Linked DNA regions of Cricetulus griseus. The protein of the gene in region 2 purifies or fractionates together with the protein of the main gene of each other region. This does not show direct contact. Links are inferred from orthologs where the notes say so. Each region holds a gene or a part of one and is shown on either strand. Other genes may lie near its edges. The genes, in order: Ybx1 and Ptcd3.

Region 1 (16,348 bases), on a different chromosome or scaffold from region 2:
CCCCACACATGAGGTTCTTTGGTGGAACCTTTGGGTTGCTTGTGAGCTTTTCAGTAAAATAAAATCCTGAAACCCGGATTGGTAGAGTGCTTACTTAGCAGTATACAAGCACAAGACCCTGAGGTTCAATGCCCAGCACTCTCCCTAACCCTATCTATCCTTAGATGAACATAGCTATTTCAAGTTTCTGTTCATGACTTTTGGCCCTCTTCCCCTTACTTCCGGGTCTGTGGTCAGCCAGCCAGTCATATCAGAAGCATATAGAACAAAGGTGCTTCCTTCATGGCTGAAGCCTCAAGCTCACAACTCTTGAGGGCATGTCCCTTAGTAAAATGAGACCTCCCACCAAAATATCCCCAGTTCTATTGGCAAGCAAGCTGATAACATAGGGGCCTTTGGGATATATTCCAGAGCCAAGTCACAGCAGGAAGCCATTCTGCTTAGATGAGGTCATAAGGGTGGGGCCCTCATAATGGGAGTGGCTCCTCCCTGCCTTGTTGACAGAGCAGGAAGGTAACCTTTCTTGTAACTGCAAGCCATATCACAAGACTAAAACTGACTTGCCAATCTTCACATCGGCTGCTTAGGCCCCCAGGTCTATACCAGTTACATTACTCATCTTCCCTCCCTTGCAGCTACAGCCATTAACCCATCCACTGCCAAACTAACTCAAGGCTATCATTTTCAACACATTTGATAATTTGTTTTGAACTCAGCAGACAAAGCATAAACCTTCCTGCCCTCACATGGCTTATCTTCTACTTGGGAAAGACAGGAAAATAAAGTAGCAAGGCAGGAATCCAGACAACTAGGAGAGCTTATACACAGAGGGAGGATGCCACTTTTAAGCACATCAGTAAGGAATAAACTTCTAAACCACAGGCTTTAAAAAACTGAGGGAGAAAGTCATTTGGCTATCTTCAGTAACTGTTACAGCCAAGAGGAAATGTATGAAAGCTTTGTGGTGGGGACATTTCAGGAAAAGGAAACTGGAACAAAACAGTGAACATGAGTCTCCTGTAAGACACTGGCCTCTGCAAAGTTAGAGACTAGCTTTTTGCTTTCAGATAGAGGTGTCCTGGCTGGTCTGGGGCTATGTAGATCCTCCTGCCAGTCTCCTGAATGCACCACCAAACCCTGCTAAAGTGGGAAACATGCAGTAGAGAACTTACCAGATGACTAGTCCTTTGGGTGTCAGTGTTGTGGACCTGATTAAAGGCATGTGTGAGCATGCCCAGCCACACATTTTTACTCACTTAACTTCATTCAGATCATTTATGTCCTTAGCCTCAAGTTTCTAACAGAACCATTAACTTGCCACATCTGTCAGACACCCATGAACCAACCTCAAGTCCAAGCTGGTCCCTCCCTGACACCAGGCACCACTCATCCAAAGATGGGTTGACAACCACCCCCGAATCCAGAGGCATTTTTACAATTCTAACCCCTGGGCCATTTTCCTTTCCAACCTCGATCATATTTGCTAATTTTTAGCACTTCCTCACAATTTGTGACAAACCAGAATTCACTGAGTGTAGGGAGTCACAATCCAAAGAATGTCCTCATTATATTGACATGGGAAAACCAAATACTAGGTAGGACCTTTCGTTAGCAGACCAGATAAAAAGGGCAGATTGCTTTCCTTGGTTTTCCCTATTGCTGCTGAGTTGATTTGCTCTGCTGCTTGTTGATTTCTTTCCAGCTTCTAGAAGCAGTACTTGCAAGCTTCCACTTTGGAATGACGACATATAGCTCACTTTCCAGGTTCTCGGCAGGAGGTAAGGTTGCTAAAGCACCTATCTTCAAGGATTGAGCAACTACCAGATTCTATTGTCATTCAGTTATTGTTGCTATTTTAATATAAAAAATGACCTGATAAATTCTTTAATGCTTATATAGCAATCTCATGGCTTCTCTAGAAAACTGGTTTATACAGGCATCTACACATTCACATTAGGTTTTAACTAAATAGTCTCCATTACTGATACATTCACAACAGTCATTTTTTCGCTGCACTCTTGACAATACTATTTTCAGAACACTAACACACCCTTACCATATTTAGTAAGGATAGGTATGACCGATCGATTCTGATTAGTTTCTTCTACAAAGAAATGATCTCAGCTGGGCGGTGGTAGCACACACCTTTAATCCCAGCATGTGGGAGGCAGAGGCAGGCTGATCTCTGAGTTCCAAGCCAGCCTAGTCTACAGAGCTACAGAGAAACCCTGTCTTTAAAAACCAAAAAGAAATGGTCCCAAGTTTGTTAGACTTGGTTGACAAAGAGCACCCACTATTCCCCATCCCAAATTCTCTAATGCAGTATCTTATATTCTATGGAGCTTTTATAGAGGGAAACATCACTTGGACTTTCAACAGCACTGCAAAACTCCTCTACCCTTTTACTTTGCAGCAAAAGAAACCTTTCCATCTCCAGACTCCACAGCTGATGTCTTACATAGAGCATTCTGGACAGACTAACTCACTTATACATAAAAATGGACAACTAGCTGATTAAGCACCCAGATAAAGACTCTGATCTTAAGAAAGTGTCCCTTTGGGGGGAGGACACCCATTTGTAAACCGCTTCACTCTAAAAATCGTGAAAATGGGAGGAAATTACCAAATTATGACAAAACTAGACAGACACTATTATTTAAGACCTTTATTAACAGATGCTTGCAGTTTGTTAATTTTTTTTTGAAAAAATCAAGTTGTAAACTTTTATTACAAATTAAAAATGAAGTTCTTAAAAATCTCAACTTGACCAGATATGAAACAATTTAAAAACCATTAAAGGTGTATTGAGAAAAACCAGACCTTTTTTTTTTTTAAAAAACACGTTTGTCATTACCAAAAAGAGACATCTTTAGGTAAAAATAATAAAAACCCCATGCTGCATAGATAATGCAGATAGTTCTAGTGTATCTGGTCAACGGGCAAAAAGCAAGCACTTAAGGTCTTCAGCTCCAATCTTTGTTCATTTCTTATTGCTGGAATTTCATATTCATTTCTTCTTGTTGGATGACCAAACTGCAAAGAGAAAGACTCATTATTTACCATATTCTTCACATAGTGGACCAATCAGTCACATTTTAACTACCTCATTTTGCTTTAGCCTAAGAATGATTCATAACAGGAGTGGACATTACTGCATATGGATGATCTTTTGCTACTCAGCACATACAAAGGGGAAGAAAATGACAAGCCCAGAGCCAGAGATACTTTCTTCTCTTTTCTTGCTTGCCCCCCCCCCCCCCCCCCCGCGTAGCCTTGGCCGTCTTGGAACTCAGATCCCCCTGTCTCTGCCTCCCAAGTGCTGTGATGAACGGTGTGTGCCACCACTGACAGGCTGAATTTAGTCTTTTATCGGCAAGTAAAGCCAAATGGAAGCTAGGCTTGGAGGATTTAAGGCTGGCTTCAAATTCAGAGATCTGCCTGCCTCTGCTTCTAGTGCTGGAATATATCTCCAGAGAACCAGGAGCAAGACTTAGTTTTCTGCTAAGATCACAGAGTTGACCGACAGACATAAGTTCATAGTCAAAACATACAACATGAAGACTGATCTAAAGGGAGACATTTTGTCTAACTTGGATTAGAGTGAACAGTAATAAAGTGCTTGTTTTACTCTATTACTGTTTTTAGTTTCTTTTGCACCAGTGCACAGTGCAGTGAACCGCAGAGGATGACTACTTACCCGGATGATGGTAGAGATGGTAAGCCGGCATTTACTCAGCCCCGCCCTGCTCAGCCTCGGGAGCGGACGAATTCTCAGCTGGTGGATCGGCTGCTTTTGTCTCTTTGCCATCTTGTGGTTTAGGGTTCTCTGGGCGTCTGCGTCGGTAATTGAAGTTGCGGCGATACCGACGTTGAGGTGGTTGCTGACCCTGGGTCTCATCTCCTTGATTTTCCTTGTCTTCTTCATTGCCGTCCTCTCTAGGCTGTCTTTGGCGAGGAGGGCCCCTGAAATGAACATTATATAACTTCAAGAGTGATAATACTTGGTACTTGGTTATACCTACCATTTTCTTTTATTGGTTGTTCTGACAGCTTAGCAAATGTAAATTACTTCCAAAAGCCAAGTGTAAAAGATTCTGTATAAAAGGTGTATTTCTTCATTTCATTCATATAAACCAAGGCCAGTAAAGCTGAGCTTGCTGCTTAAATGCTTGGAATTGAGTGCTGGTGCACTCAATTCAATACTTTTTTTACTCAACTTATTTTCTTGCTAGTAACTATTGTTCTATTGTATGTTCTAATCTATCATTTCTATTTATCATACACTAAAATTCTTGACCACACATTTTCTTCTTAACTCCATTCCATCAAAAGGATCCATACTTTCTATCCATGTGTCTTAAGATTTGTGGCATGGTTGGAAAATCATACCCTTTGTGCAAACTTAAAAAAATTACTATAAAATTAATTCAAGGGGCTGTAGAGAGAGATAGCTCTGCAGTTAAAAATACTTGTTCAGAGGACCAGTGTTTGATTCTTAGCACCAACATGGTGACTAGCAACCACCCCTAACTCCTCAGAACCATCCAGTTTCAGGGGAACCCACAACCTCTTCTGACTTCCACAGGCACCAGATATAATACATTCAGGCAAAACATTCACACACATACAGAACATTAGCTGTAACAAATCAAGGAACAAAAGCCTATGTAAGGAAGCAATCAGAGTGTTTCTCTGTAGTTTTGGCTATACTGGAACTCACTCTATGGATCAAGGTGTCCCTCACAGCCTCAAACTCAGATTTGCCTGCCTTCTATGCCTGGGATTAAAAGCCAGAAACACCACCACCTGGCAGTATCTCTAACTTAAACCACCACCAAAATATATTTGCTCAAGATACTAGTGAAACTAGCAAGAGATTTAAGCTACACTCGCACACCCAAGATTCTGTTGTTGACAACTATAGACTAATATATACTGATAGGAGAGCATGCTTTACGTTTTATACTTAGGCTATGGCAATGGGTGTAGCACTGAAGAATTTCCAAATCATTAAAAACATTAAGTCATCAACATTAAAAACAGAAAGAATTCAGCACAAGGACAACACAATCAAATCATATTCACCAGGGAGTAGTCCAGATGCCCCAGTGGTCCCCAAGCACCCACAATTCATGTTCGTAACATCAATTCCAGAACATCAGATGCTTTCTGGACACCATCATACATGTGTTACACGCAGGTAATGTTTCAAATAAAATCAATCTAAAAGTTAACCAAGAAAAGGTTCCTAATTCATCTGAATTAAAAACACAGGACAGGGCAAACCCTTTTAATCCTAGCTAGCACTCAGAAGACAGAGGCAGGCAGATCTGGATCTGAGTTTGAGGACAGTCAGGGCTAGACAGAGTTCCAGAACACCCAGGGCTACATAGAAAAACCCTGCCTCAAAACCAACAGGACAAGGACAGCAGGTGTGGTGTTTCACTCTTTTTAATCCCAGGCCCGAGGAAGCAGAGGCAACTCAATTTCACTGAGTATTGGCCAGTTAGAATTACATGAGGTCCTGTCTCAAAAATAAAAATCCAACCACCACAGGGCACATAAGCTTAGACACTGACCATGTTTTGGTACTATTGGGTGCTGTGTAACATGTCTTCCATCCTAGCCACTCAAGAGGTAGAGGCAGAAAGATGAGTAGTTTGAGGCTAGCAGCCCAAGCAACTTAGTTAAATTCTGTCTTAAAAAAAAAAAAAAAGAAGAAAAGAAAAGAACAATGCCAGGGAGAGGAGCCGGGAGAGTGATCAAGTGGTAAAGTGCTGGGCACTGGTGGCAGATGCCGGAGGCAGAGTTCAATGCCAGTGTGGCTACAGAGGCAGGGACACAGAGAAGCTTGAAAAACCAAAAACCCAAAAAGCTGGGTGGTGATGTTCGTTTGAGTACTAGCACCAAGGACAGAAACCCAGTCTAGCTCAATTAATGAGCTCCAGATCCAGTAAAGACTCAAAAAAACTAAGGTAAATGATTGAGAAAGACACCCAAGGATGACATACACAATACACTCACCGGTGAGTCCTATCTGTCAGATAAGTGGTCTTTGGGTTCAATCCCAAATTTGGGACAGGGTGAGAAACTGGCTGATAATATAAACACTCCATGGATGTGGAGCACTAGCTGTTGCTGCATAGTTATATAACCTCATTGGGTTCTCTAACTCCTAAACCTTCCTCTAAGTCCAGCAGATCCAGCTTTGCACATGAAGCCTTTCCTATTATTCCAATAGCTCCTATTACCTCAAACACCACTACACAGGACTTTCTATTTATTACCCTCACCTTTCTCCCTTCCTAAGTAAGCCATGTTTAGATACTGTCATTTGAAATACTCTTACCTGTTCGGGGACAGAACCATATACAGTAGATTTCAACTATATAAGCTGTGACTATAAAAGCAGTGACAAAGCTGGAAAGAACACATTTCTCAGCCAGGCACTGGTGGCGCAGGCCTTTAATCCCAGCACTCAGGAGGCAAATGCAGGCAGATCTCTGAGTTCCAGGCCAGCCTGGTCTACAGAGCCCAGGACAGGCTCCAAAACAGAGAAACCAAAAAGAAAGAACACATTCTCAAAGACTACTCACTTCAGGAGCACTTCTTATGCATCAGTGAAAGAGAATGAAGTATTAACTCACGATGCTGGAGAGGCCTAACATCTGGCTGAAGAATGCAACAGAAACAGGTTACGATGGACCATACCTGCGGAATCGCGGTCTGTAACCCCGATACATATTCTGTCTCACTGGTCTACCTTGCTCTCCTGCACCCTGGTTGTCAGCACCCTGAAAAGACATCAGAAGACATTAGAAATTAAAGTCTATTGGGTCCACAACAAGAACAAAATCCCAATCTGAAGTTCAAACCAGAAAACACTTTCCTGGCCAAATTCCAATTCCTGAGTACAAGATATCTAATAATTATGATCACACCATACATTAACAAGCTTGGTGGTTTCTTCATAATCAAAAGTGCATTCTGTGGTAACAGGTTAATTTAGGGGAAAATTTCCACGATTAAGTTAAAATAGTCTTTCTCAAAGGCTGTTATAAGGAGTATGTATGGTTGGTGCTCACTCAGCACTAGCCCTGAGACAGCAAAAATGCTGTTGCATACATACTGGCACTTACCTCCATCACTTCTCCTTGCACAGGAGGGTTGGAATACTGTGGTCGACGCCCATAGGGTCTCCGCATGTAGTAAGGTGGGAACCTTCGCCTACGATAGGGCCGGCGTTGTTGGGCTTGCCCTTCAGGAGCGCTTTCCGATCCCTCGTTCTTTTCCCCACTCTCACTATTCTGGTAATTTTGCTGGTAATTGCGTGGAGGACCCCTACGACGTGGATAGCGTCTATAATGGTTACGGTCTGCTGCGTATTTACTGCCTTGAACTGGAACTCCACCAGGGCCTGTAACATTTGCTGCCTCCGCACCCTACAAAAGCCATTATTTATTGACAATAACAAAAGAAATCCAAATATTCAATAAATTTCACTCAAGCTGGGGAGGGGGAAAAAAAAACAAAACAAAAAACCCAAGAGCAAACAAAAAAACGAGGGAGGCTGTCTGCATGGGAAAGGGTGCATAGGAATGACTGCGTCATCAGCTCCTCACTCTTCTGAAGGGACTGTTCTCTAACTGCAGCAGCACGTTAGGCTTGATGCACCTGTGTTCATGTGGTCACCAGAACACATCATCCATCCAATTAGAGCCACCATCCTAATGGATGAAATCTCCAAATTATTTCCATACCGAAGTCAAACCTTTACACAAAAAGCATCCTCACCTTTTCTCCTTCAACAACATCAAACTCCACAGTCTCTCCATCTCCTACACTGCGAAGGTACTTCCTGGGGTTATTCTTCTTTATGGCAGTCTAGTAACATCATTCCAAAAATAGATTAACAGGGGAGAAGAATGTGCTTTTTTCATTTAAAATGTACCAGCGTCAATATCATTTTTAGCTTGGATATATACTTAAAATTTGCTTTATGTAAGACCAAACTGTCAATAATTTAGGAAAGCAGGGACCAATGTTACCTTACCCCCAACCTCTACCAAGAGACTCCAATCTTACAAGGCCCCAGCATTTTACCACTATTTACAAAACTAAGTAATTTAGTACCCAAGACAGACAACAATGTGTTTTAATATACTTTTTGCAAAAGCATCACATATAAAGCTTGGAACAAAATAAGGCCTCCATCTATCCCCCAAAGACTGCACTTAATAGAAGCTAGCCCGACACACGGCCAGTTTAGATGACAGGCAAGTTTAGTTTTACATGCTTCAACTTTGACCATACCAACTCTTGTCCCTTTACCATATCAAACTCAATTACAAATGTCAAGCAAAATCCCTTCCAGCCTGTCTATAATGACTACTTCCAGGGAAATGCATTTCACATGTATCTATGCCACTCGTATATATCTCTCTCTGTAAGAGACCTGTTGGTTACCACCTCCCCAGAAAACAGTTAAGTCTTACATTATATAGGGCTTAAAAATTATGAAGTGCCAAAGGTCACACAGCTATTAAGTGGCAGGGAACTTTTCTAAATCCAGGTCTTAGGACTCCAAATCCCAAGTTCATTCCACATCACAGCAGTATCCGTTACAGGATCACTCATGCATTTCTATTCCAGAGGAGGCCGGACAACCAACAAATCTGAGGCCAATTAAGATCCGGTGCCCAGAACTGCAGTCTACTTGATACACCACCACAACCTCGTAGCCAAAGTCCCAAGAACAACTCTATGTTGATACCACTTGCAAAATAAATAGGAAAGCATATTGGTGACACCTTATGGGATAAGACTGGGTGAGTTGAGTCAAATAAATGATCTCATCTGTCATCTGAACTGTCGTATAGTTTCATACCTTTCATATGTAGCCAACTCAATTATTTGCAGTCATAGGGATAGTAGAAGTATGCATTAAAATCCCCAAACATGTTAGTCACCATCTTTAGCCCCTTCCAATCTCTCATGGCTATCAGTGGCAGCAAGACTAATAACCCTTGCTGTTTCTTGTCTGTTAAATCTTCATTTTATTTCCAACTTGTAGTAAGTACAGGTAAGAGTCACCTTACCCAAACAAGCATTTTAATTTAATCTTTGCTAGGTCTTTTGGTCTCCCCCCAATTAAAAAAAAAAAGAAATAAAGGGGGGAAAAAAAGGTTGAAAATTCTTAAAATAACTTTCAACACAAGTGGATATTTCAACAAGTTGATCACGTGGAAGCACACAGGAAGTGAAGTATTCCCTAATCCACTTCACTGTGTGAAGATGCTGGCAGTATACCACTCAATTGGCAGCATCTTACCTTACCAATAATCCCTCCCCACCCCCCAGACAAGAGTTTCTCTGTGTAGCCCTGGCTGTCCTCAAACTCAGATATCTTCCTGCTCTGCCTCTCTAGTGCTGGGACTAAAGGTGTGCACCACCACCCAGCAGTTACCAATAATTCTTAACTTAATGTCCAGTCATTTCCCTAGTCAGTATGTACTTCTATCTCCTCCAAACACTGGCAGCCAATTAAAGTAATTTACGGACCAATCACAACTCTTGCAGTGCCTTTCACATGAGTTAAATTACTAGTGAGGATTTATTTTTCCAGTCAACTCTAAAGGTGAAAACAGAAAGTCTAGTCAGTGCTGGCTCCCTATTTTCTTCATGTAATGGTTTTGTAGCTTTGTCCCATAAAGATTTGTCCTTACCAAAGCGAACCTGACTCTAACAGCATCTGGCAATACCTTGCCAATGTTTCCGTGTATTTATAGCACATTATTCAAGGTTAAATTCATGGTGGTTATTTGTCTGAAACTAGGCATGAAAACTGTGTGCCATCAGTTGAACAGATTCAACATTTTAAATTTATTAATGAAACTCCAAATCTAACACTTTTAAATTAAGTGGACTCTTCAGTGCAATGTTTCACTCTACACTAAATCTTCAGGTTCAGGAACTAAATAAACTCACTCTTGAACTTAACCTTTAGAGCCAAAACAGTTGAGAACACACCCATCCTTTCTTTTCTTCTCTTAAGCCTTGAGCCAGAAGTAAAGAGAATCAATAAAAGCACTCACCTGGTGTACAAATACGTCTTCCTTGGTGTCATTCCTACAACACAAAACCAAGAAAAAAACCAAGTGAAAAAACAATTATGTTTCATTGCCTACAACTGATTAAGAATAACCTGGCCTAGAAAGCAAATTCCAGGCCAGTCAGGTTACATAGAGCAACCTGAAAACCCCAAAGAACTGCCTGGTGAGTGGACAGCCTCAATTTTCCCAGAGATTTCCTAGCTGTTTAAGCAGAAAATCATTTCTATCTTTTAACTTTGAGCGTGGGTGATTGACTACCAGCTATACCTTCACTATCTCTGTGTGTGTGTGTGTGTGTGTATACAGTAAAAACACAAGCTACACCAACTACTTTAAAGACTAAACTTTGGGAAACAGTGATAAGCCCACTCACTTCTTGTAAGGAAAGCAAACAAGTCTAAGAAGGTGTAACCAAATGAGCCATAATTCAAAAGGACAGCAATGACAAGAAACTCTACCTTATTAAACATTAACAATAACCTGCCCACACCCCTTTCCCTATAGACCAGTAGTACTAGCTGGAGTAGTCATTCTCACTTCCTCACAATTCTAATCTCCAAATTCCCTAAGGCAATAAAAATGACCACATAAAGTCCTCTAGAAAACAGAATGAAATTTCATGTAAACTATGTACACCTTATTTATGTGCCTAACACTGTTCCCCCCCCCATCACAGACATCACAATCCTTAGCCAAGCTTTCTTTTGACAGCTTGCACTGTGACAATTCTGCCTCAGTTTCCACAGCCCTGGTTGGGATCATTACCAAGAAAACAAAGTCTTTCATTAGAAGAATGTGGTGTGATTATTGCAGAAAATGCAGTGAAACATCTGAATAAGCAAAGCCCAGCAAGTTAGGTCAAAGTTGAGACAGGAACTGACAAAGTCTTAGACTAAACAACCATCCAATGAAGATATTTAGGCTATCTTTCTTGGGACCAAAATGGAGGAAACCAAGAGTAAATGGAAACTGGAAGTGAGGATTAAGTGGGGAATCATTTGTATTTTGAATGTGGGCAGGGGTGACCAACATCAGGACCCCAAAGAACCACTGGAGGAACAGATTTCCTTGTTAGTGACCCTCTTCACTACTAGGAAGCCAGAGAAATGGTTCAGTATTAGTTCTAATATTAGCATTTAATGACCAAAAGACACCACTGGCACACTGGTAAAAAGCAAAAAGGTTTTTCTCAATTGCTGTACTACCTCATCCAACCTAGCCATTTATTGTTTTAATATCCTTTACTTAAACTGATGGTGCCAATAAGATGGTTCAGCATGTAAAGGTGCTTACTGAAAATATGAGTTAGACCATGTGGGTTTGATCTAGAACCCATTTACAGATAATTAGATAATTCCTGCAACTTGTCCTCTGACCTCCAAATGTTCCCAATTCCCCCCAAAATAAATGCAGTAAAATGAATGAGCTGGGCATGATGTTGCAAACCTTTAATCCCAATACTGGAGAGGCAGAGAGGAAGACAGATTTCTGGGTTTCAGGACAGCCAGGGCTATAAAGAGACCCTGTCTCAAAATTCAGTATTTTAAATTCAATGAAAAGAAAATTTCCAAAGGGTATTTTTTTTTTGTTAATGATCAACAGTTATCCATGAACTTACTTCTGGGTTATAAAATGTTATTTATCTAGCTTTTAAAATTGGATAATGCTAGCAATAAGGCAATACTATTCCCTAAGAAATACTTCGTAGATACACATAGAAAGGCCTGTCTCAGCAGCTGTCTTGTAACTAGACTAGATTGAGGAATATATCAAAGTGTATGTAGATGTCAGGAAGGAACTTGATTCCTATGTGTTTGAAAACTTTTATTAAATGTCCTGTAGCTGCTGGGCAGTGGTGGCGCACACCTTTAAACCCAGCACTTGAGAGGTAGAGGCAAGTGGAACTTTAAGTTCTAAACTACCCTGGTTTACAGGAGTTCCAGGACAGCTAAGGCTGTTACATGGAGAATCCCTGTCTCAAAAACAGCCCCCCCCCCCAAAGTCCTGTAGCCTTGGAAAGCAAAGCTATCCCCTTACTTTTTGTTTTCTTCTCTACCTGCAAGAAGATCAATACTGTAGGAGCTACAGAGTTGGCCCAGTGATTAAGCGAACTTGCTCTTCTCAAAGTCAGGTTTGGATCCCAACTCCTACAACTACCTGCCACTCCAGTTTCAGAAGACTCAATGTCCTCTTATGGTATCTGTGGTACACATATAGATAGCAGCCTGGATCACTGAAGATTACACTAGGTGTTTGGAACATACCATTTATCCCCACAATTCTGACATAGGTAGCGTCATTAACCCCTACCATCTTCACAAAGGAACTGAAATACAACCTGTGGCTGTTTATTCATAGTGTTGACTACCAACTTCTTGGGGGCTCCGGTATCCACACATAGGAATTAAAAGAAAAAAAAAATCCTTACAGTGTACCTTAAAATAATAATAAAAATATCTATATGCTAGGTGTTCAGGTGGGGTGGGGGCTACAAATGGGTGTCTGATCTCACTGACACTGGAGTCCTACGAAAGAGGATCAAGTGCTTGTAAACACTGAGCCATCTTTTCAGCTCACATTTTACCTTTAGAGGAAGATTAAAACACAAGAATCCCTATATGCTTTCCTGATGTAGGTCAGAAGGAAAACAAACACAGCTTCCTCCTTTCATTACCATGTTTCACACACTACAGCAATATGCTAAATATTTATTAAGCCCCTAAAACATTCACTGGCTATGCCTATCATTCAAACCCTAGCTAGCTCTCTACAATTACTATTTCATTTCTACTTAATCTACCCAGACCAACAAGGTTCCCAAAGTTAAAACAAAAAACCCCCAACCCAAAGAGACATAAATAAGACCTAAGATAAGTTCATTAACAAAATGATCAACATACTAATAGAACCACTACCATAGTTTGCACCAAGCCTTAAGGCTTGCCCTAAAATCACAAATCCCACTTAATTCCTTACTAACTCTCTAGGCAGACATATCTTTTCCAGGTGTGACCACAGATGCTTCCAAGGATCTAGACAGGCCTGAAGGCCACCTAACTCCACAACTACAGTCTCAGGATAAGGAAGCTTAAGGGTAAGATACATGCTGCTCCTTCTGGGGAATTAAGAGCAAATGACTTTACTTGGCAGAAAAAGGGAAAGAACCACTACAAGATAAGGATTCTGTTCTGAGCTCTTAAGTCAGTCACCGATCGAAGAGACTCCCATCATCAGTAATTAATACGGTAACAGGTAAGCAGTTGCTCACTCTTCAAGTCTTGTGTGCAAGCCAAGAGTCACAGTATTGTCAACTTCTTGCATGTCCCTTTCTTAAACACTGTCAAGGAATCCTCAGACTTTCTTGTGCAATACTTATTCTAGTGGATACACATTAAGACACTTCTGAGACAGAAACCAGGGTGACTTTAAAAGCCTAAGAGGGGCTGGAGAGATGGCTCAGAGGTTAGGAGCATTGACTGTTCTCTTCCAGGGGTCCTGAGTTCAATTCCCAGCAACCACATGGTGGCTCACAACCATCTGTAATGAGATCTGGTGCCCTCTTCTGGCGTGCAAGCATATATGGAGGCAGAATATTGTATACATAATAAATCTTTAAAAAATAAAAATAAAAAATAAAAGCCCAAGAGATTTTGGCCAAAATCTTTCCAACCTACCATATTTTCATTTTTACCAAGAACACTGTGTTAAAGTACTGCAGACTTTGCAGTATTGAAATATATAATTATATACTCAGCTAACTAACTTTTTTGAAAACACATTACTACCATCAATATTTATGTTCTTGGTCTTTTCTTCTTGCCTTTACATGGAGACATGGAAAGTTACTTAACCTGAAAGTGGACTCTATAGCAATGCCACCACTGAGCAACCAAAACTTCATTTTTCCCTCAGTGAAACTCAAACCATCACCAGCCCTGTTGATGAGCTGGACCCCAATCCCTAGCTTCTCCAGAATTCCCTTTGTACTTGAAGCACCTAAAAGGGTTAGCCTTCATGGCTGTGGCCAAGGATTTCTTGTATTGTGCCACTTTTGGTCTTGGCAGTGACTACAGAGCTTCCTTACGGTATGAAGACCAAGACACACTTGCCCATCCTGCCAGAGCGACATCCCAGCTAAGTAGTAAAAAAGCAGCCTTTACAAAAAAGTAAAACCAGACGTGTGGTGGGGGCCTTTAATCCTAGAGGCAAGCTGGGGGTTGGTGGCACACGTTTTTAATTCCAGCACTCAGGAGGCAGAGACAGGCTGATCTCTCTGAGTTCCAGGCCAACCTCCAAAGCAAGAGAGAAACCCTGTTTGGAAAAAAAGGTTCCTAGAGGCAGACAGGCACTTCCCCGATCAAGGCAATTCAAAGGAGCAGCTTCTCCCTTCCCAGGTAACTCTGGGTTGTGTCAAGTATACAAAAAAGAAAATGAAAAAACTAACCAGGACAGGTAGGCAGAGTGGGGCACGCCTTTTAATTCCAGCACTTGGGAGGCAGAAGCAAGGCAGATCTGAGTTCCAGGCCAGCCTTGTCAACAGCATGAGTTAGTTCCAAGACAAACAAGGATACACAAAGAAACCACATCTCAAAAACCAACCAATAAAGGATGATACCACCAGGTCTGCTTGGGACAACACTCAACTGCATCAATCTCAGTATGACATGAATCAAGTTCTTCAATTTGTAAAGCTGACTTGTACACTAAACTGGAATTTATGAAATATAGTAAAAGGCAATCCATAATACCAGAGGACTAGCCAGCAAATAAAAACTCCACTGTAGATCATGTATGAAGTCTTCAATGTCTAAGAATGTGGACAAGTTCTAACTGAAAATGGCCAGGATCCATTTTCACAGATAGTATAAAAGCAGTTGTTGAACAAATACTCCAGAGCACAAAACTAAGTTCAAATCTTGCTTCTATTACTTCCTGTTTATGGGACAAATCACAAAACCCATGTTTCTGAAACAGTGCTTAAGTATCAAAGGCTCAATTAAAAACCCCAAAAGAAAGGACCCCCGAAGGAAGACTAACATTGACAGTTTTGGTTTGTTTTTTTTTAAGACATGGTTTCTCTGTGTAACTTTTATTGAAGCCTGTCCTGGAACTCAGATATCTGCCTGCCTCTGCCTCCCTGAGTAATGGGATTATAGGTGTGCACCACCATCCCACTCCCCCAGCATTAAGTTTTATAGTACAGACGTAAAACTAAGTTTTCTAGACCACAGGTTAAAAAGGCCTGTGTACGTACATAGGGCAGGCATAAATGGCAATGAGCAATGTAAGAATATAAAACAGTCTGGGCCAAGGAGATTGCTCAGCTGAAAAGTGCTTGCAGTGAAAGCTTGACAACCCTGAACCCCTGTAGAAGTCAGATGCAGCTGTCTTCTGACCTGCATACAAGTGTTGCAGCATAGGCATTACCTCATATACGAACACGTACAGGCTTTAATAGATGGTGGTCGAAAGGAAAAAAAGTGATGTAAAAGTTGAGATCATGAGCAGAACTTCCATTCCTGTCTGGTGCTCTGAATTTTTAAGTTCTATCACTTGAGCCACAGCCCAACCCCTAAACTCTGTCACCAAGAGTTCCAGGGCTATGGACCACTCTCTACAATTAATAATAATATTAACTTGGGGAAGGATTCAAAAAAAAAAGTTGTATGACCCAGCTGGGCAACATGGTATATATAGGCCCAATTCCTAGACTATGATGTTTCTAACAGACTAAATTCTGCTACTTTAAAAGCTCTGGTTCTGCCTGAGTGTCAGGATTTTTTGGGTTTTTTTTTTTTTTCGAGGGTTTCTCTGTGTAGCTTTGGAGCCTATCCTGGCACTTGCTCTGGAGACCAGGCTGGCCCCGAACTCACAGATATCGCCTGCCTCTGCCTGGGATTAAAGGTGTGCACCTCCACGCCTTTAATTTAAAAAAAAAAAAAAAAAAAAAAACCTTTTTCAAAAGGAGGTGGTGCAAGGTTCTTCAGGTGTAATCCAGGATGGCCTTATACTCAAGTAGCAGCAGAGCATGACTCCTGATGTACTGCCTTCTGGGATTACATGCATGTTATCACTGTCTTTACATCCCAAGCTTTTTAATTTGAAAATTTTACAATAAAATAATCTGCATTTTGCTGGGCGTTGGTGGCCTTTAATCCCAGCACTTGGGAGGCAGAGACAGGCGGATCTCTGAAAAAATAAATAATCTGCATTTGAAAATGTCTTGGAACAAACAA
Region 2 (16,348 bases):
ACAATTAATTAAGGAAATGGCACTTACCACATTCATGGCCAACTGAAAAAATTTATCTGAAAACCAAAGTTCAAAAGTTTGGTTGCTATGGATATAACAGTATTTACATATCAATAATATAAATATGCCACAGACATCTTGGCTTTCTCAGAATATTCAATCCAAATATTGTTACTTAGCTAAATAAACACTGCCTTCAACACAAGGCCTATAATGGCACTCAAGCAAGCCTCCTGTCATTAGCTGGAGGAATAACACAATTAATTTCTGTACCTACCATCATCCAGGTCCCGTGGAGAGAATTTCCTTCCCTCTAATTCATTCATGATGTCATAGATGATTAAGGATGACGTTTTTAAAGAGCTGCCTGCAGAAAAGTAAGGCAAATGGGTGTTTATTAGGAGTCCACTTCCATAAGTAGAACCAACTTCACAGCCCCAGTTATAAAGGCCTCCTATCTGTTGCCTCCATCTTTAGCCTAAGACCTAGCAGAGTTGGACAGAACCAAAAACTTGTGAAAGAATCTTCTATAGCCCAGAGCCCAAGTCTTTGTAAAATCTGTAAGAATCATTATGCTATGTCTGTATGGTCCAGTTAGACTTCATCTTTATTCATTTCTTCCTGAGAAGCTCAAATTTCTATTAAGTGGAACAAATACCAACAGCCCCTCATCCCAAACCAACACACTTAATCGAATCATTTGGTGGTACCTGTGTCCTTTTTTAAAAATTTATTTATCTATTTATTTATTTACTTATTTATTGTGTATACAGTGTTCTGTCTGCATATAAGCCTGCAGGCCAGAAGAGGGCACCAGATCTCATTATATATGGTTGCCAGCCACCATGTGGTTGCTGGGAATTGAACTCAGGACCCCGGAAGAGCAGTCAGTGCTCTTAACCTCTAAGTCATCTCTCCAGCCCCATGTTCTTTTAAGGAACAGGTAAGGAATCCAAGAAAAAAACCCAACTGCAGAACAGATCAATGAATGGGGCAGTTCTTAGAAGTCACACGAGCCAGCCATGGCCAAACTTGCTTGTTCATCCCAACACTAAAATAGAAAGGTCATCAAACAGGTTCACCTAAACTGCACAGCAAGTTCAAGACATTCTATGCTACATGGCAAAATAACTGGGGTTTGAAAAAGTTACTAGATACTGATAGGGCAAAAACTGTACTTGGCAAGAAGAAGTCCTGTTCAATATAACTCAATAGTTGGTGCTAGTTCAAACTCTGAAAGCATGACACCAAGTAGTTTATTTTAGGCATATTTAAGCACAGCACAATGTGGAGAAAGTTTCCTGGCAATAATTAACTCTGTCTCATGTGTACAACAAAACTTAAGACATGACTATCAAAACTACTGTAAAGTACAAGTGATATTGGGAATCTTCCATAATGATAGGTTCTCTACATTAACTGAGAAGGCAGGTGAAAAATAAACAAAACACACGATAAGGGTCTGGGTAAGCCAGTAAGGCCTGACCATACAGGTAGTGCAGAGGTAATGTTACCAGGCTATTAACAACCATATCTGTTTCCAGCCTTCTAGAAGGAAAATAGGATCTATTGTTCTCCATTTGAAGAGACAACTCAGTGTATTTAAGAATCCTTCTTAAATACTACATTATTTAATGTATATAAATCCCTACATTACCTTAAAAACACACTACTTCTATACTACATTACCATAAAAACACACATGTAGCTAGCAGAACTGAATAGAGGGCACAGCCATGAAACATACTGTAGAAACACAGGAGGTACTAGGAAAATTATTTTTCTTTCTTCTTTAAATTACTTTACTCAAGTGTGTCAGTGTTTCTCAATCTTCATATGCTGTGGACTTTTAATACAGTTCCTCATGTTGTATCAACCCCCAACCATAAAATTATTTCCACTGCTATTTCATAACTGTAATTTTACCACTGTTATGAATTTATACTGTAAATACTGGATATGCAGGATATCTGATATGGGACCCATGAAAGGGTTGAAACCCACAGGCTGAGAACCACTGATGTCTGTGAATGTGTGCCACAGGTGTATAGGTGTTCTGGGAGTCCAGAAGAGGATGCCAGATCCCCAGAAGCTGGAGTTACAGGTGGTGGTGAGCTTGTGGGTGCTGCTAGGAGTGGAACATGGTCCTTGAGAAGATCTACAAGTTCTCTTAACCACTTAAGCCAGTGGTTTTCAACCTGTGGGTTGTTGACAGACCCTTTCACAGGGGTGGCATATCAGAGATCCTGCATATCAAATATTTACATTATGATTCATAACAGTAGCAAAATTACAGTTATGAAGTAGCAATGAAAATAATTTTATGGTTCAGGGTCATAATATGAGGAACAGTATTAAAGAGTCACAGCATTTGGAATGTTGAGAACCACTGACTTAAGCCATCTCTGTGGCCCTCAAAATTCTGTTTTTATATGTAGAAAAAAATAATCTCATTGCACACAGAAATAATTAAAAATGGGTCAAATAAAGGATCTAACACTCTGAACCTGCTAAAGAAAACCACAGAGACATCACTTTAAAACCATGGCATAGGCAAGGACTTCTGAAAAGGACATCAGTAGTGGAGTACATATGGCATATGCTTATTAATCCTAACTCTAAGGTCCAGAAATCAGGAATTTGTGTTCCCCTGTGAGTTGCTTCTAGGGGTTCTATGGTCTCTTCCTCCTATCTCACCATGGACGCCGGGATTAAACACCCACTACCTAGTCTGGCTTCACACTGGTTCTGGAGTCCAATTTAAGCTACCAAGGCTTGAAGACCTAACCCATTGACCCATCTGCCTTTTTTGTAACATGGTGCTATGATTAAAAAGCAATGACAAGAGCAACTTAAATGGAAGTGACTAGGTTGGGTGGCCTTAAGGTAAAGTGAAGAGTCTACCCATTTCTGCTAGGACTACAAGTATGTGCTACAACACTTATGTTCTGTGATCAATCTCTCTAGTGTTTAGATTGGGTAGCAAGCATTTTCTTAACTGACCTATCTTCCTAGGCTCCCTTCTACCTTTCTCTGAGACTCAGATAGCAAGAACATGCTGGCCCAAAGGTGACCTTGAACATCTTATCGGCCTGCTTTGACTTCTCTAATTCAGAGATTACAGACAAGGGTCTGGAATACATGATGGAGTTCTATTTAAGAGAAACGGTTACATCTCATTTGTATGAAAACAACTTGATATCACCATATTAAGCAAAATAAATCATACAACTATTATATTCCTCTTCCACATGAAATCTAGATCATGAAGATACATATGTTTATGATATATGCAAGTAGAAGGGAACCATGTGAGGAAGACTGACAGTTAGGCAGAGTAAGAATGGGTAATTTGTGGGGCGGTAAGATGGGTCAGGGTTACATAACAGTAATTGCCGACAACCTAATGACACATGAGCTTCATTCTTGGAAACCACAAAGAGAAAGAATATGGTTGCTGAGCCCTAATGTCACATATTTTTTAAAAAAATAAACTGAAACAACCTATATGTGATTACTAAGCTAATATACTGAGTAGCAGTTTTAAAGACCAAAATGAACCCTTAACTACCCACCTTGCCTATTCTTTATAGTCCAAGAATGCTAGTACACTTTATAGCCCTCTCCAGTTTGTATTTCATATCACAATCAAGGTTTCTACTCTCAAGATTAACCGTTTGCTCAAACTGTAAATGCTAATTTATATACTTTCTTTTCTTTCTTTCTTTTTTTTTTGGAAATAACTGTGTGGCAGACCTCCAACTTTGACTCTTTTAACAAGTATCCAAGACCACGCAGGGCTGACCTCTCTGTTTTTTAATTGGTTTGTTTTTCAAGACAGGGTTTCTCTGTGTAGCCTCACTGTCCTGGAACTTGCTCTGTAGACCAGGCTGGCCTCAAACTCATAGAGTCCTACTTGCCTCTGCTTCCCAAGTGCTGGGATTAAAGGCATGTGCCACAATGCCAGGCTGTGTATGGATGTTTTGTTTGTATGTATGCTTATGTGTGCCTGGAGCCCTTGGAGGCCAAAAGAAGCATCAATCCCTGATGATTGGAGTTAGAGATAATTGTGAGGCACCATGTGGGTGCTGGGAATTGAACCCGGGTCCTCTGAAAGCCGGTGCGCTTAGCCACTGAGCTATTAATTCATATGAAGAGCAAGTACTGCAACAATTACATAAATTCAATAGAGATGGCCAATTTTCATACAAACCAAAATAATGTAAGGGTATACATACCTCGGTGATAAAAGAGATGAATAATATGATGGTATGTTGCAAGTGAGGGTTCTCAAATTACCAGGCAGATAGAGAAAAAAAAAAAATAAGTTATCTAAAATGAAGCTGAAACACAACATTAACATTTAAGCAAAAGACCCCCCCCCCTCTCTCTCCTCTCTCTCTCTCTCTCTCTCTGGTTTTTCAAGACAGAGTTTCTCTGTATTGCTTTGGAGCCTGTCCTGGAACTTGCTCTGTAGATCACGCTGGCCTAGTGCTAGGATAAAAGCCAAACGCTACCACTGCCCAGCTTGCCTAACTATTCTTAAATTAAGCAATTACTAAATTATTCACAATATAAAGTGGCACATAATTTGGGTCACAATATTTAATTATGCTAGAACAATGTCCTGAAATTTAAAACAGGCCAAAAAAGCAATCAACTCCCTTTAAAATTAAGAGAATTACAGAAAAAGTATTTCAAATGTTAAATAACAATAATATCTACTGTAAAGAACATGAAGTGATAAAGTATTCCTGTCATAGCGGACAGTTATCACTTGGTATCCATGGCACGTGAATATAAATGGAATTATATGCACATAACCCACACACATCCTACTGTATACTTCAAAGCATTTCTAGATCCAAAACCTGATATGCCACAAATGCAACCCCAATACTTGTGTTGTTTAGTAATGGCCAATACAAGTGTAGACATATTTACAATTATTTTTACCTAACATTTTTTTATCTGGGGTTGTTTGCAGAGATAGATACAAAGAACCAACTTCATGTGAAGTTACAAATGCCACAAGGAAACCCTAACAGTAAAGCAATAGTAAAAATATAAACACTTCTGGCTTTTGTGGTTGAGACCAAAAGTCAGCACACCTCATCTTCAGAGAGGAGCCAGGATGCATTCTTACCTATTCCAAGGTATTTCATTTCACGTAATGTCTGTAAGGCTGGGAGCCTTCCATGCATATAAAACTTCCGGAGACACTTCAGCACAGCATTAAAAGTCTGAAGGTTTGGTTTCACCTTCTGTGCAACCATATGTTTCAGCAGATCCTAAGAAACAGGAAATTTTTTTTTTTTACTCCAAGGTAATTTGCCAAAACTACTGAAATAATTTAGTTCTGTGGCTACATATGAAAAAAATTAGCACCCATACTCTAATTTAGTAACTATCTGCTTAAAAAAACCTGAACAACCGGGTTTGGAAGCCCATCGTTAATCCCAGTACTTGAGATTCAGAGGCAAGGGATCTCGGTGAGTTGAAAACCAGCCTGGATTTACATATCAGGTTCCAGACTCGTAAAGGCTGGACAGTGAGACGTTTTCTGAAAGAAAACCAACAAAACCAAAAAGGGACAAAGAACTATCTACCAGGGATCCCATCTTCCAGAAAGTCTCCTTACACTGTCATGGATCAAGGTTATCTTTGTCTCCCCAAATCCTATCATGCACCACAGGCAATCAAGGTGTTTATCTGTAGTCTTCTACCAAATTGAGACTAAAATAGAAGCGCCCATGGTATGTAAAAACACGTTCTAAGTTTTGACAAAATCTCTCCAGTGATTTCAATTTAACTTCGCTGGCTAGAATTCTATAATAGGTATGTACTTTTGTAATTAACAATGAAATCAATTATACATTAAGTGTCCCAACTCTTCCTGAATCCTTGCTATGTAATAATTGATTAATCAGTGTTTTGTTTTTTCCCCCATAATAGAGAGGCTTCTTAAGCTAGGGCAGAGTACTGAGCAGTTGCCACCACATAAATGATAAATTAATATTTCATAGTCAAAGGTGGGTAGAAGACAATAAAGGTTGTTTCCTTACCAGTATATTATTCCATTTTTCCTCAAATTTCTCACTGGCTATCAACATTTTAGCTTCAATCAATGCATTGAAGGTATATACATCAGCTGTAAAAGAAAAATACTTTAACAAAACTTGAGGTTGAAAATTTACCTGAAAACAGCTGAGGTGAAGAGAAAATGATCATAGAACTAGCTCTCTGGTCCCATTTTAATCACTAGTATGGCAACAAAAGTTGAAAAATCTAAACAACAACCCCCCAAACAATAACTGTGGCCCAATAACTGAGACAACTTCCAAAAACCTAACTGATTCTTGTTAGAACAGTGGTTCTCAACCAGTGGGTGCACACCAGGTATCCTGCATATCAGACATTTACAGTATGACTCACCACACTAGCAAAATTACAGTTATGAAGTAGCAACAAAATAATTTTATGGTTGGGGGGGTCACCACGACATGAGGAACTGTATTAAAGGTTAACAGCATTAGGAAGGTTGGAAACCACTGAGTTGAGGGAATACACAGGTGGAAGCCAGTCCCCAGACTCACCATGAAGTCTGTTATTTAATAACTCGGTGTACAAGTTCAGTGCTTGTGCATAAGCTCGGTGCTGGAGAGGAAAAAGCAACATCATCAAAGTGTTCTCAATTTGGAATGTGAACACACAAAACAGGAGCCTCCAATTCTCAGAAGCTCGTACCCTAGTGTAGTAAGTTTCTTCCAGAGGGCATTAGCAATGCTTAGACATTTTCAGTCATCACAACTGAGAGTGAAGCAAGAGCATGTAACTCACATCTAATGAGTAGAAATGGGGTGGCGGCAAGGTGGGAGACAACATCTCACAACACAAAGGGAAGCTTCCAACCCTCTTATCGTCAAGGAGGAAGTGACTGACTCAGCCTTTAAGAGTGCTTGGTGCTCGATCACAAGGTCTAGAGTTCTTATTCCCACACCCATGTCAGGTGGCTCATAAATAAATGCAGTAACTGGCTCCAAGGGATCAACACCCTCTATTACCCAATGTAGGCACACAACGGAAGCGCGCACATGCACATACACACTCCTTCATACACTTAAGACACAGACAGATGCACACATACATGAATAAAGAAAAAAAAAACTCACAAAACTATAATAAAGGTCATTCATCCCTAATCCAAAATTTGAAATGCCTCCAAGCTAAAAAATTTAGAGGGCTGATATAAAGTCATGAATAGGACCTCATTTAATAGGTTACAAGACAGAGCATAGACTCACAAAGGTATTACATAAAATGATCATGTTAAGTGCTGTAGTTTATGCCCATGTTCCCAATTACTCCAGAGAATACAGTGGGAAGAAATGTTGAATCTAAAGGCACTCTAAGAAAAAAAAGTTTTTGCTAGCTATTGGAGCACCTTTAATGACAAGGCAGACGCAGACAAATTGCTGTGAACTTAAGCCTTGTCTCCCTAACGGCCTAGCCAGCTGACCTACAAACTGAGACCCTGAGGTAGAACTATTTTCATTATTTGCATAAAAATTGAATGATGCAAATAGACATCATGCTCAGAACCGACCCCACCCCCAAATATATTATTCATCCAACGTAATAGACCTTCAAGATAAAAATAAAGGAAGATACCTTCACCATCCCTTGGATCATTGTACAGTAGGAGCGTGCATTCTTCTCGGGTATCAGAGCAAAGATTCTCTCAGCATTGTTTTGTGCTCTAGAAACAACAGAATAAACATGAATCAGAGGCACTGGGAAAATTAGTAGTAATTGCCATTTTTTCACATAACCATTCTACAACCCAGAGTTTGACAGGGTTATCATCTCAAAAATGGAGGGTCAAAGATCTGAAGTTGTCTGGACATGAATAACTCAGGGTCCCTGGGTAAAGAACAAAATACTCTGCACATAAGATACACAATGGGCCAGGTGTTGGTGGCGCACACCTTTATCCCAGCACTCGGGAGGCAGAGGCAGGCGGATCTCTGTGAGTTCCAGGCCAGCCTGGTCTACAGAGCGAGTGCCAGGATAGGTTCCAAAGCTACACAGAGAAACCCTGTCTTAAAAAACCAAAAAGATACACAATGGAGGTTCTCCTCTGTTCCCTACCCTGCTTCCTGAGGCAAGCATGACTCTAGCATGAGCAATTCTGTACCTTTATTAGAGGGGAAAAAAGCAATACACCTTATATACATTTTCCTGTATCCCAAACACCCTAATATTATAGAAACCAGACAATTAGGATATGACCCAAGATCTTTCTACAAGGCCCACGAGTGTGCCATCTGTTTCAATGTGTCACATGGGTTGGTGCTTACATAGGTTAGAGGTGTAGTGGCACACAGGTGCTGGAAACGGAACTCAAGCCTTCATATAAAAAATTACTAAGCCATTTCTCTTGATCTCAATTTCTGGTATTAATGGTAGCCTTTCTTCTCTATAGATCCACATAGAATATTTATTTTTATTTCATGCACTCCTTAATTAAAGGTTCAAACATACTGTTATTTACTTTTTTTCAAACTGTATTTCCAATAAACAAAAATGCATGAACTCTCAATAAATAAAAAAGGAAAACCAAAAAGGACACCCGGGACAAACCCAAAGATTTTTGTATGGTGGCAGGAGTTAACACTCTCATAAAAAGTAATCTAAGCCCGAAGTGATATTGTACGCTTGTTATACCAGGCCTTGAGAGCAGAGCCAGGAATGGTCTATGTTTGTGGCTAGCCTGGGCTAGATGGAATCTTGAATATAACAATAACTAAGAAGCCAGGTGTAGTGGCACACATATTAATCCTAGCACTAAGGAGGCATAAGGATCTCTGTGAGTTTAAGTCTAACCTGTTCTACATAGTGAGCTTCAGGGCAGCCAAAAACCACAGAGAAACCCAGTTCCACATATACACAGAAAAGACGAAAAAAGAAAAAAAAAAACAAAAGAAATCTGTTTTAGAACATTTCAGGATTTCAACTCCAGAGGACAATGTAAAGTATTTTGCATGTACTGTAAAATCCCCAAAATACAAGGTTCTCATATGCAACATACTTCCAAGGAATAGTCTTCATCTTGGAGGTTTGAACATTTGTCTCTGTGGCCTCTTCCTAGAATGGATGAAATAAAAGGTAAGACAATATTTGCTAGCAGACTACTTGAAAAATCAGAAAAGCAAAGGAAATTCAGAAAACTAAAGTAAATAACAGATTAGCTCTAGGCAAAGAGGAACTTAATAAAATGTTCACACCCACATCCAATTCCTTCAGTGTGAAAATCACCAAACACAGAGGAAAGCCAAGTCAGTTCTTAAGAGATCATGTGGTGATAAGACAAAGGCAATGCCCTATGTGGCCTGTCTAAATGTAGAAAACAAAACAAAGTGCAATCTACTGCTACAGAGGCCACAAGTGGTTTGTCTCAGAAAAATACTGTACACATGGGGTCAAAGCAAGAGAAATTGACATTAGTATGTCTAATACTAGCTAAAGGACCTTTAAAAGACTTATTTATGAATGAATCATCTGGGATGAGGCAGACATAGAGGCCTGACTAGCATTTGCAGAAGCCAGGGTTAGTTCTGTAGTCAACCAGCTATTTCAAGAGCAAGGCTTGGAAGAATGGGGGCCAGTCTGGAAGGGTTCAAAAGATGTTCTACATGGTCACAGGAATGAGTACTTTACAACACTAGTTACTATGTAGGGAAATAACCCACAATTAGTGGACAAAGAACATAATATCATTACTCAGAAACACTTTTAAATATTTGCATTGTAAATCAGGTAGTGGTAGTGCGTGCCTTTAATCCCAGCACTCAGGAGTCAGAGACAGGAGGAATTACATGAGTTCAAGGCTAGCCTGGTCTGCAGAGAGAATGCCAGGACAGGTTCCAAAGCGACAGAGAAACCCTGTCTCAAAAAAACAAATTTTCACTGTCTGCAAATGAAAAAACTTTATATAAAAATAACAAAGTTTGACATTCTTCTCTCCCTTATGGAAGAGAGGAAGGGAACAAAGTCTGAATGGATTAAGAAAAAATAACAAAGATTGAATCCCTTATCCAAAAGATGAGGTTTAAACATGAAATTCATTCTCCAAATACATACAACATAAAGAATTTTTGAAAGAATGAAGTCATATAAGGCCAGGTGTGGAAGTTCCCATTTAATATAGTCAAAAAGTTCAGATTTTGGAGCACTTCAGTTATAAAAATTGGATTGGGGATATAGATGCTCAGTAATCTTTTACTTCCGGACCATTCAGGGCTCTATTAACAGCTACTATTGGCTATCTACACTGTTTTCAGGATCTTTCAAGTACAGGCATAAATCCATACTGTTTGAGAAAAAACGTTCCATACATAACTCTATATACCAGATACAAAGGATCCCTTGAAATCTATTTCTAGAAATAAACCCTCTAACTCTGACAGCTACTACTCCACCTACAGGCAACACTTGGCATAAGGGCAACATGCTCCCTCCTCTCTGCCCACATCTGTATAAATTTTAAAAATGCATTGTGTGTTCAGTGTGGACCTGCAAATGCTACAGCACACATATGGGTGATCACAGAACAACTCTGAGCAGCTGGTTCTCTCATCCCACCTTTACATGGGATCCTGGCATCAAACTCAGGGCTCTTGGGCCTATATAATAAGTGCCTTTACTTGCTGAACTATCTTACTGGCCATGTATGTACAACTTTTCAGCAAAAGGTAACCAGTGACAAAATATGGAGTCTTTCCTTGATCTTTACACAACATGCTGTCACCAAAGTGCTGGCTCAAACAATTCTGGCCAAACCTCTGCTGAGTATTTAGTACATGAAGACAAAATATTGCTAAGTAGAATATAGTTAAAATAATTGTTCCAAATAAAAAACACAAATTAAATTAAAACTATACTGAGATTCTACCTCACTCTAGTCACAAACAAACATTGCTGAGGCTGCAGGATAAAAGGGATCCTTAAACGCTCACTGCTGGTGGAAACATAAAACTATTGGAACAACTATGGAATTCAGCACGAAGCTTGTCAAAACAGCATCTGACCCAGCTATGCCATTCCATGATCCATGCACATACCTGAAAAACTGTACATTGTAGAGATACTTGCATACTTGTATTTATTATGGCCCTATTTATAATAGCTCAATTGGCATCAATCTACATGCCCAATAGATTTTGTTTTTTTCAGATGGGTTTCACTATATAGCTCTGGCTAGCCTGGATCTCATTCACCATGTAGACCAGGCTGGCTTTGAACTCAGAGATCCACCTGCCTCTGCCTTTATACTGGGATTGGAGCCTACAAACCCAGCTACTTAGGAAGCTGAGGCATACAAAATATAAATTTAAGGGTAGTCCAAGCAATTTAGCAAGACCCTGTCTCAACAAACAAACAAAAAGGGGGACGTGATACTGGAGCTAGAGTTCCATGATTCGGTACTTGTCTAGCATGTGCAGGGCCCCAGGTTCACCTCCACAAAAAATGTGTGGCACAGAAACACACCCAAGTTTTAGTCAGCCATAAAGATCAGAATTATGTCATTTGTAGGAAAATGGATGGAACTAGAGATTATACATAGACTCAGAAAAACAGATTTTGCTTGTTTTTATCTCATATGAACAAAGTATAAGAAGGACCATTTGGGAAGATGAAAGAGACCAATGGGAAAGGCGAAAGAGCGTAAAGGGGGAGGGACTATTATTAAAATGCATTATATACATGTATAAAAATGTCATAATAAAACACACTATTTTGTATAACACCGATTAAAAACGAATAAAAACAATTGTTCATTTCATATGTGTCTTCCTTCATCATTGCTGAGTGAAGGCTATAGTTCCACCTCAGTATAGACCCTTTACTATGTATGACATATGGGACAGCACCCTCGCCCATTTTGAGAAAATATTTTAGAAACAAAACACCCAAGTTTTTTCTTTTTCTTTTCTTTTTACCAAGTTTTCTGCATGTTCAGTTTGTCGATAAGGACAGTCAGCTGGGGGCTCTTGGTCACCATAGTAACACAATAAATCCAAGAGACTATTAGTTGTTTCAAGAGAGACTGTGGTTCCTGTGGTTAGGAGAAAAAAGAAAAAAGAAAAAGAAAACAAGAAAGAAACCTTCAAACATCCAAGAACCAAAGCCTGTTAGAGGAAATTCTTCACTTTTTGTATTAATGGTGGCTTATTTGGCTACATACTTAATCTCTGGTACCATTTTACCAATTAACAAATATAATCCATAATGGCTTTCTGCAGATTCTGTCCCATTTCCCCCCTATAAACTATATATAAGATGTCGTATTTCTTAATACATTTGTTTGGCATAAGAGACAGTTTGTGTGAGACCTTCTGACCCCTGCTTTTCCATCTTCTTTGTTTTCTGAACCCTTGGCCTTTCCTCTCTGGAACTTGTCACTGAAGAACGACCTGCTAGTCCAAATGAATTTTCACTTAATACCTTTATACCAGACCCACTAAATAAATACAAATAATTATTCCAACTGGATTCAGGCACTCACTGAAAATTTACTAAGAAATACTAGCACAACTGCATAAAAATAATTATCTTAAGAACAACTCATTTGACTCCCAGCACCTCAAAAATCCACAAAAAACAAAACAAAACAAAAAAAACCACAACACAAAACCCTAGAGCTTGCTGGGCAGTGGTGGCATATGCCTTTAATCCCAGCACTCTGGAGGCAGAGGCAGGCAGATCTCTGTGAGTTTGAGGCCAGCCTGTTCTCCAGAGGGAGTGCCAGGATAGGCTCCAAAACTACACATTGAAACCCTGTCTTGAAAAAACAAACAAACAAACAAACAAAATCAAAAAACAAGAAAAACCAAAAACCCTCAAAATGATACTCCCATGTCAGCACTCACTTTATAGAGAAAAGCTCAAAAGAAAGAAAAAGAGAGGGGTCTGGAGAGATGCTTCTGGGACCAGGAGCATTTTTAATCTTACAGAGAACCTGAACTTTGATTGCCATAACCATACATGACTTCAGTTCCAGGTGATCCTTTCTTACCTCCAGAACTATGAGGCAAGCATGTGGCATGCATACACACACACACACACTCTCAGGCAAAACATTCATACACACAAAAACAAATCTAATTCATTAAGCTCAGCATGACTGCCCATACCTGTAACACCAGCATTCAAGACACTGAGGAAAAAGGAGTCCAAGGTCATTCTTGATTACAAAGTGTTTGAGGCTAGTTTAAGTGACATGACACCCTAAAAACCTAAAGGCACACCTGTACCACCGTGGGCAAAAGTAGAAGTGGCACCAAGTGTGTACACTACAGATCCATCCCAAGTGTTGCTGACATTCAGGAAGCAGAAGAACATATGCTCTGCTATCACCCTTCAGTTATGTGTCTGTCTGATGCTATGAAAAGCTTCAAGAGTATAAAAAAATGTTTTGGGCTCAAATTGTATTTTCAATGGTTTTTCCAGTTTCCATTTCTTCCATGTTTAACATATTTTTTATTCTAATTCACTAAACAGGAGTCTAGATTCCTAAAATTTAATGATAATGGCTGAGATGGCTCAGCAGTTAAGAGCACTGCTCTTCATAGGACCTGGGTTTCATTCCCAGCACCCAAAATGATGGTAAATTAGTTAATGAGGATTTCATGCCCACTTCTGTCCTCTTCAGGCACCATACCCACATATGCCCAGATACTCATGCAAACAAAACATACACAAAAAATAAAATATTTCTGTTTTTCTCAAGACAGGGTTTCTCTGTGTAGCCCTGATTGTTCTGGAACTCTTTGTACATCAGGCTGGCCTTGAACTCAGAGATCTGCCTGCTTCTGCCTTCCAAGTATGGGGTATTAAGGGCGTTGTCACCACCATCCATCATGTTTCTGTTTTATCTGGCCTAGCCCTCTCACACCTAATGTTAAAAAAAATGAGGTCAAGGAAAAATCAGCATGCACTTTCTTTACCAGTGCAAAGGACAAAAGCAAATAAATGAAACAAAGTAAACAATATTGGCCAGTTTTACTCCAAACTACTGGGATCATATCAAATGTCCCCATGTTCCAAGAGGGGCTCTGACTGAGAGGAGTTACCTGCTTGTAAGAGCTGATCAAAGAGGTCCACAGAAGCCTTGACTCTCCTGAGTCTGATTCGTTCCTTCAGTGCAGCTTCACTCACCTCTTCAATCTGAGGTTCCAGGGACTCGGGCATTAAGCACTAGAAAATAAGATAAATAAGTAACTTGACAAAAGGGAAAGGAAACAGGATAACAGTAGCATTGCTACAGTTCCTGTTTCCTACATACCACTTACATCTGAACATAAAATAAAACATACAGATAAGATCAAGAAGCTGGTTCAGGTGGGTGTTGGTGGCATACACCTTTAATCCCAGCACTCGGGAGGCAGAGACAGGCAGACCTCTGTGAGTTCCAGGCCAGCCTGGTCTACAGAGCGAGTTCCAGGACAGCCAGGACCACACACACACACACTAGCAGAAGCTAATGCAGATGGCAGGGAACTGCTTCCTGGCTTGCCTCACATGACTTGCTCAGCCTGCTTTCTTATATAACTCAGGCCCTGGGATGATAACACACACGATGGGCTGGGCCACCCCACTGATCACTAATTGAGAAAATGCCATACATCTTATGGAGGCATTTTCTTGACTGAGGCTCCTTCCTCTGATTCTAGCTTGTGTGTAGTTGATACACAAAGGTAGCCAGTACACACCCCAAATCAAAAAAACTTGTCTTCCTCTTTTTCTGCCCATCTTGGTTAAAGTCACCAGAGCATATGAGTTTCTTAAAGCCAAAACCTTTTCTTGGAGTTTGCTTTTCCTTTGAACACCCAATAGCAACAAGGTATCTTGATTTTATCTCATTCACTAATTTTTCAAATATACTTGGAGTGGGTACCACTTACCAAGTACTAAGCTAGGCATTAGGAATTATCTTTCATCAAAGTACTGCTGGTGAAGAAAGATTAAGACATTAGAGAGTCAGCAGTGGTAATTATGCTGTCAACTCCACAGAATCAAGAATCACCGAAAAAAAACAAGACTCTGGGAAAGCCTGTGAGGGATTTTCTAGGTCAGGTTAACTGAGTTGGGAAAACCCATTCTAAATGTGAGCAGTACCATTCCATACAAGTTCTGGATGGCACATACAGAGAAAGTGAGCTAAGCACGGGAACGCGTGGCTTTTGCTCCCTGACTGCAGGTAGTGTGACCGCCTGCCTGCTGCTCCTGCTTCCCGACCACATGGGCTGTTATTTCCTTAACTCTAAGCTAACCAGACCTTTCCTTTTGTCACAATAGGGAAAGCAACCCACACAGGATACAGTTATTGGCAGAGAGGCCCGGCACTCCATCACCAACACACACACACAAACAACAACAACAACAAACAGATAGAGTTGGTTATTGTACAATGTGCTTCGGCACTATCTCCAAGGTAGGAGACCCCCTGCAAGGCTTCCAGCAACTGTGACCCCAAAGGCAAGCACAGGAACACTGTCAGCCAACAGCTAACCATCCCACAACGGCCATTGTTCTAAGTCAGGGTTTTAATATTTTCACTACATAACTGTGCTGACTTGCTGATCATTACCAGAAGCTGCAATATGAGAGGAGGAAGGCTATGTTAGGCTGTGAATTTGGGGAACCAAAGGGAAAGGGAGTGGCAAGAGCGGCTGGGAAGCAGGTATCTCCACCCATACTCTCACAAGGAAAGAGGTGCAAGTGGCTGCTCAGCAGACACTCTACAAACACTGCACATTACAGAATACAGGGAGTCAGAAGCACAGCCTCAATGCCCACGAAGAGAAACCTGGTCAAGATATGCAACAATGTCAGTGCAGTGCAAGGATGACCAAAACAGCAAGTGCAAACTGTAAAAAGAGAAAAGGGGCATAGAGACTTCATAAAGACATTTATAAGGAAATGCAGGAAGCCACTAGAAGACCATGAAAAGGAACAGCCAGAGAAGACTCAAGAGTAGTAGCATTAGGAATCACACACAAGAAGAAATGTAAAAGGTTAGCAAATGTTCTCACTCCAATATTCAGAGCCCTAACTAGCTAAATCCGCTGTGGAGTGTGATTTAATCTGCAGTCACGTTACTAGTGAAAGACAATCCATCTTTCCTTACCGGAATATGAGGTTCAGCCACATCCTTTTGGAAATATTTGGGATGTGAATTAACAATAAATTTTGCTGCATTCTCCCCAGACTTCTTTGCCAATAAAAATGAACGCTATATAAGGGGAGAAATTTAAATACAAATTAGCACTTACATATAATTTAG

Evidence for each region.
Region 1: the proteins of Ptcd3 (region 2) and Ybx1 purify together in Homo sapiens (co-immunoprecipitation; 4 studies listed by BioGRID and IntAct, with this or other methods). This does not show direct contact. The link is inferred for Cricetulus griseus from reciprocal best matches to the Homo sapiens genes PTCD3 and YBX1.

What each region holds. Positions count from the first base shown.
Region 1 is NC_048595.1:32,877,130-32,893,477, reverse strand, and holds the end of Ybx1 (Y-box-binding protein 1), read right to left. Parts: intron 10,129-16,348; coding exon 10,095-10,128; intron 7,885-10,094; coding exon 7,795-7,884; intron 7,443-7,794; coding exon 7,140-7,442; intron 6,795-7,139; coding exon 6,712-6,794; intron 3,964-6,711; coding exon 3,729-3,963; 3' UTR 3,698-3,728; intron 3,034-3,697; 3' UTR 2,653-3,033; downstream 1-2,652. UniProt on the Homo sapiens protein: DNA- and RNA-binding protein involved in various processes, such as translational repression, RNA stabilization, mRNA splicing, DNA repair and transcription regulation.
Region 2 is NC_048601.1:63,589,969-63,606,316, forward strand, and holds part of Ptcd3 (pentatricopeptide repeat domain-containing protein 3, mitochondrial), read right to left. Parts: intron 16,298-16,348; coding exon 16,193-16,297; intron 14,260-16,192; coding exon 14,136-14,259; intron 12,119-14,135; coding exon 12,003-12,118; intron 9,148-12,002; coding exon 9,092-9,147; intron 7,760-9,091; coding exon 7,672-7,759; intron 6,658-7,671; coding exon 6,597-6,657; intron 6,152-6,596; coding exon 6,066-6,151; intron 5,292-6,065; coding exon 5,147-5,291; intron 4,290-5,146; coding exon 4,239-4,289; intron 368-4,238; coding exon 278-367; intron 57-277; coding exon 28-56; intron 1-27. UniProt on the Homo sapiens protein: Mitochondrial RNA-binding protein that has a role in mitochondrial translation.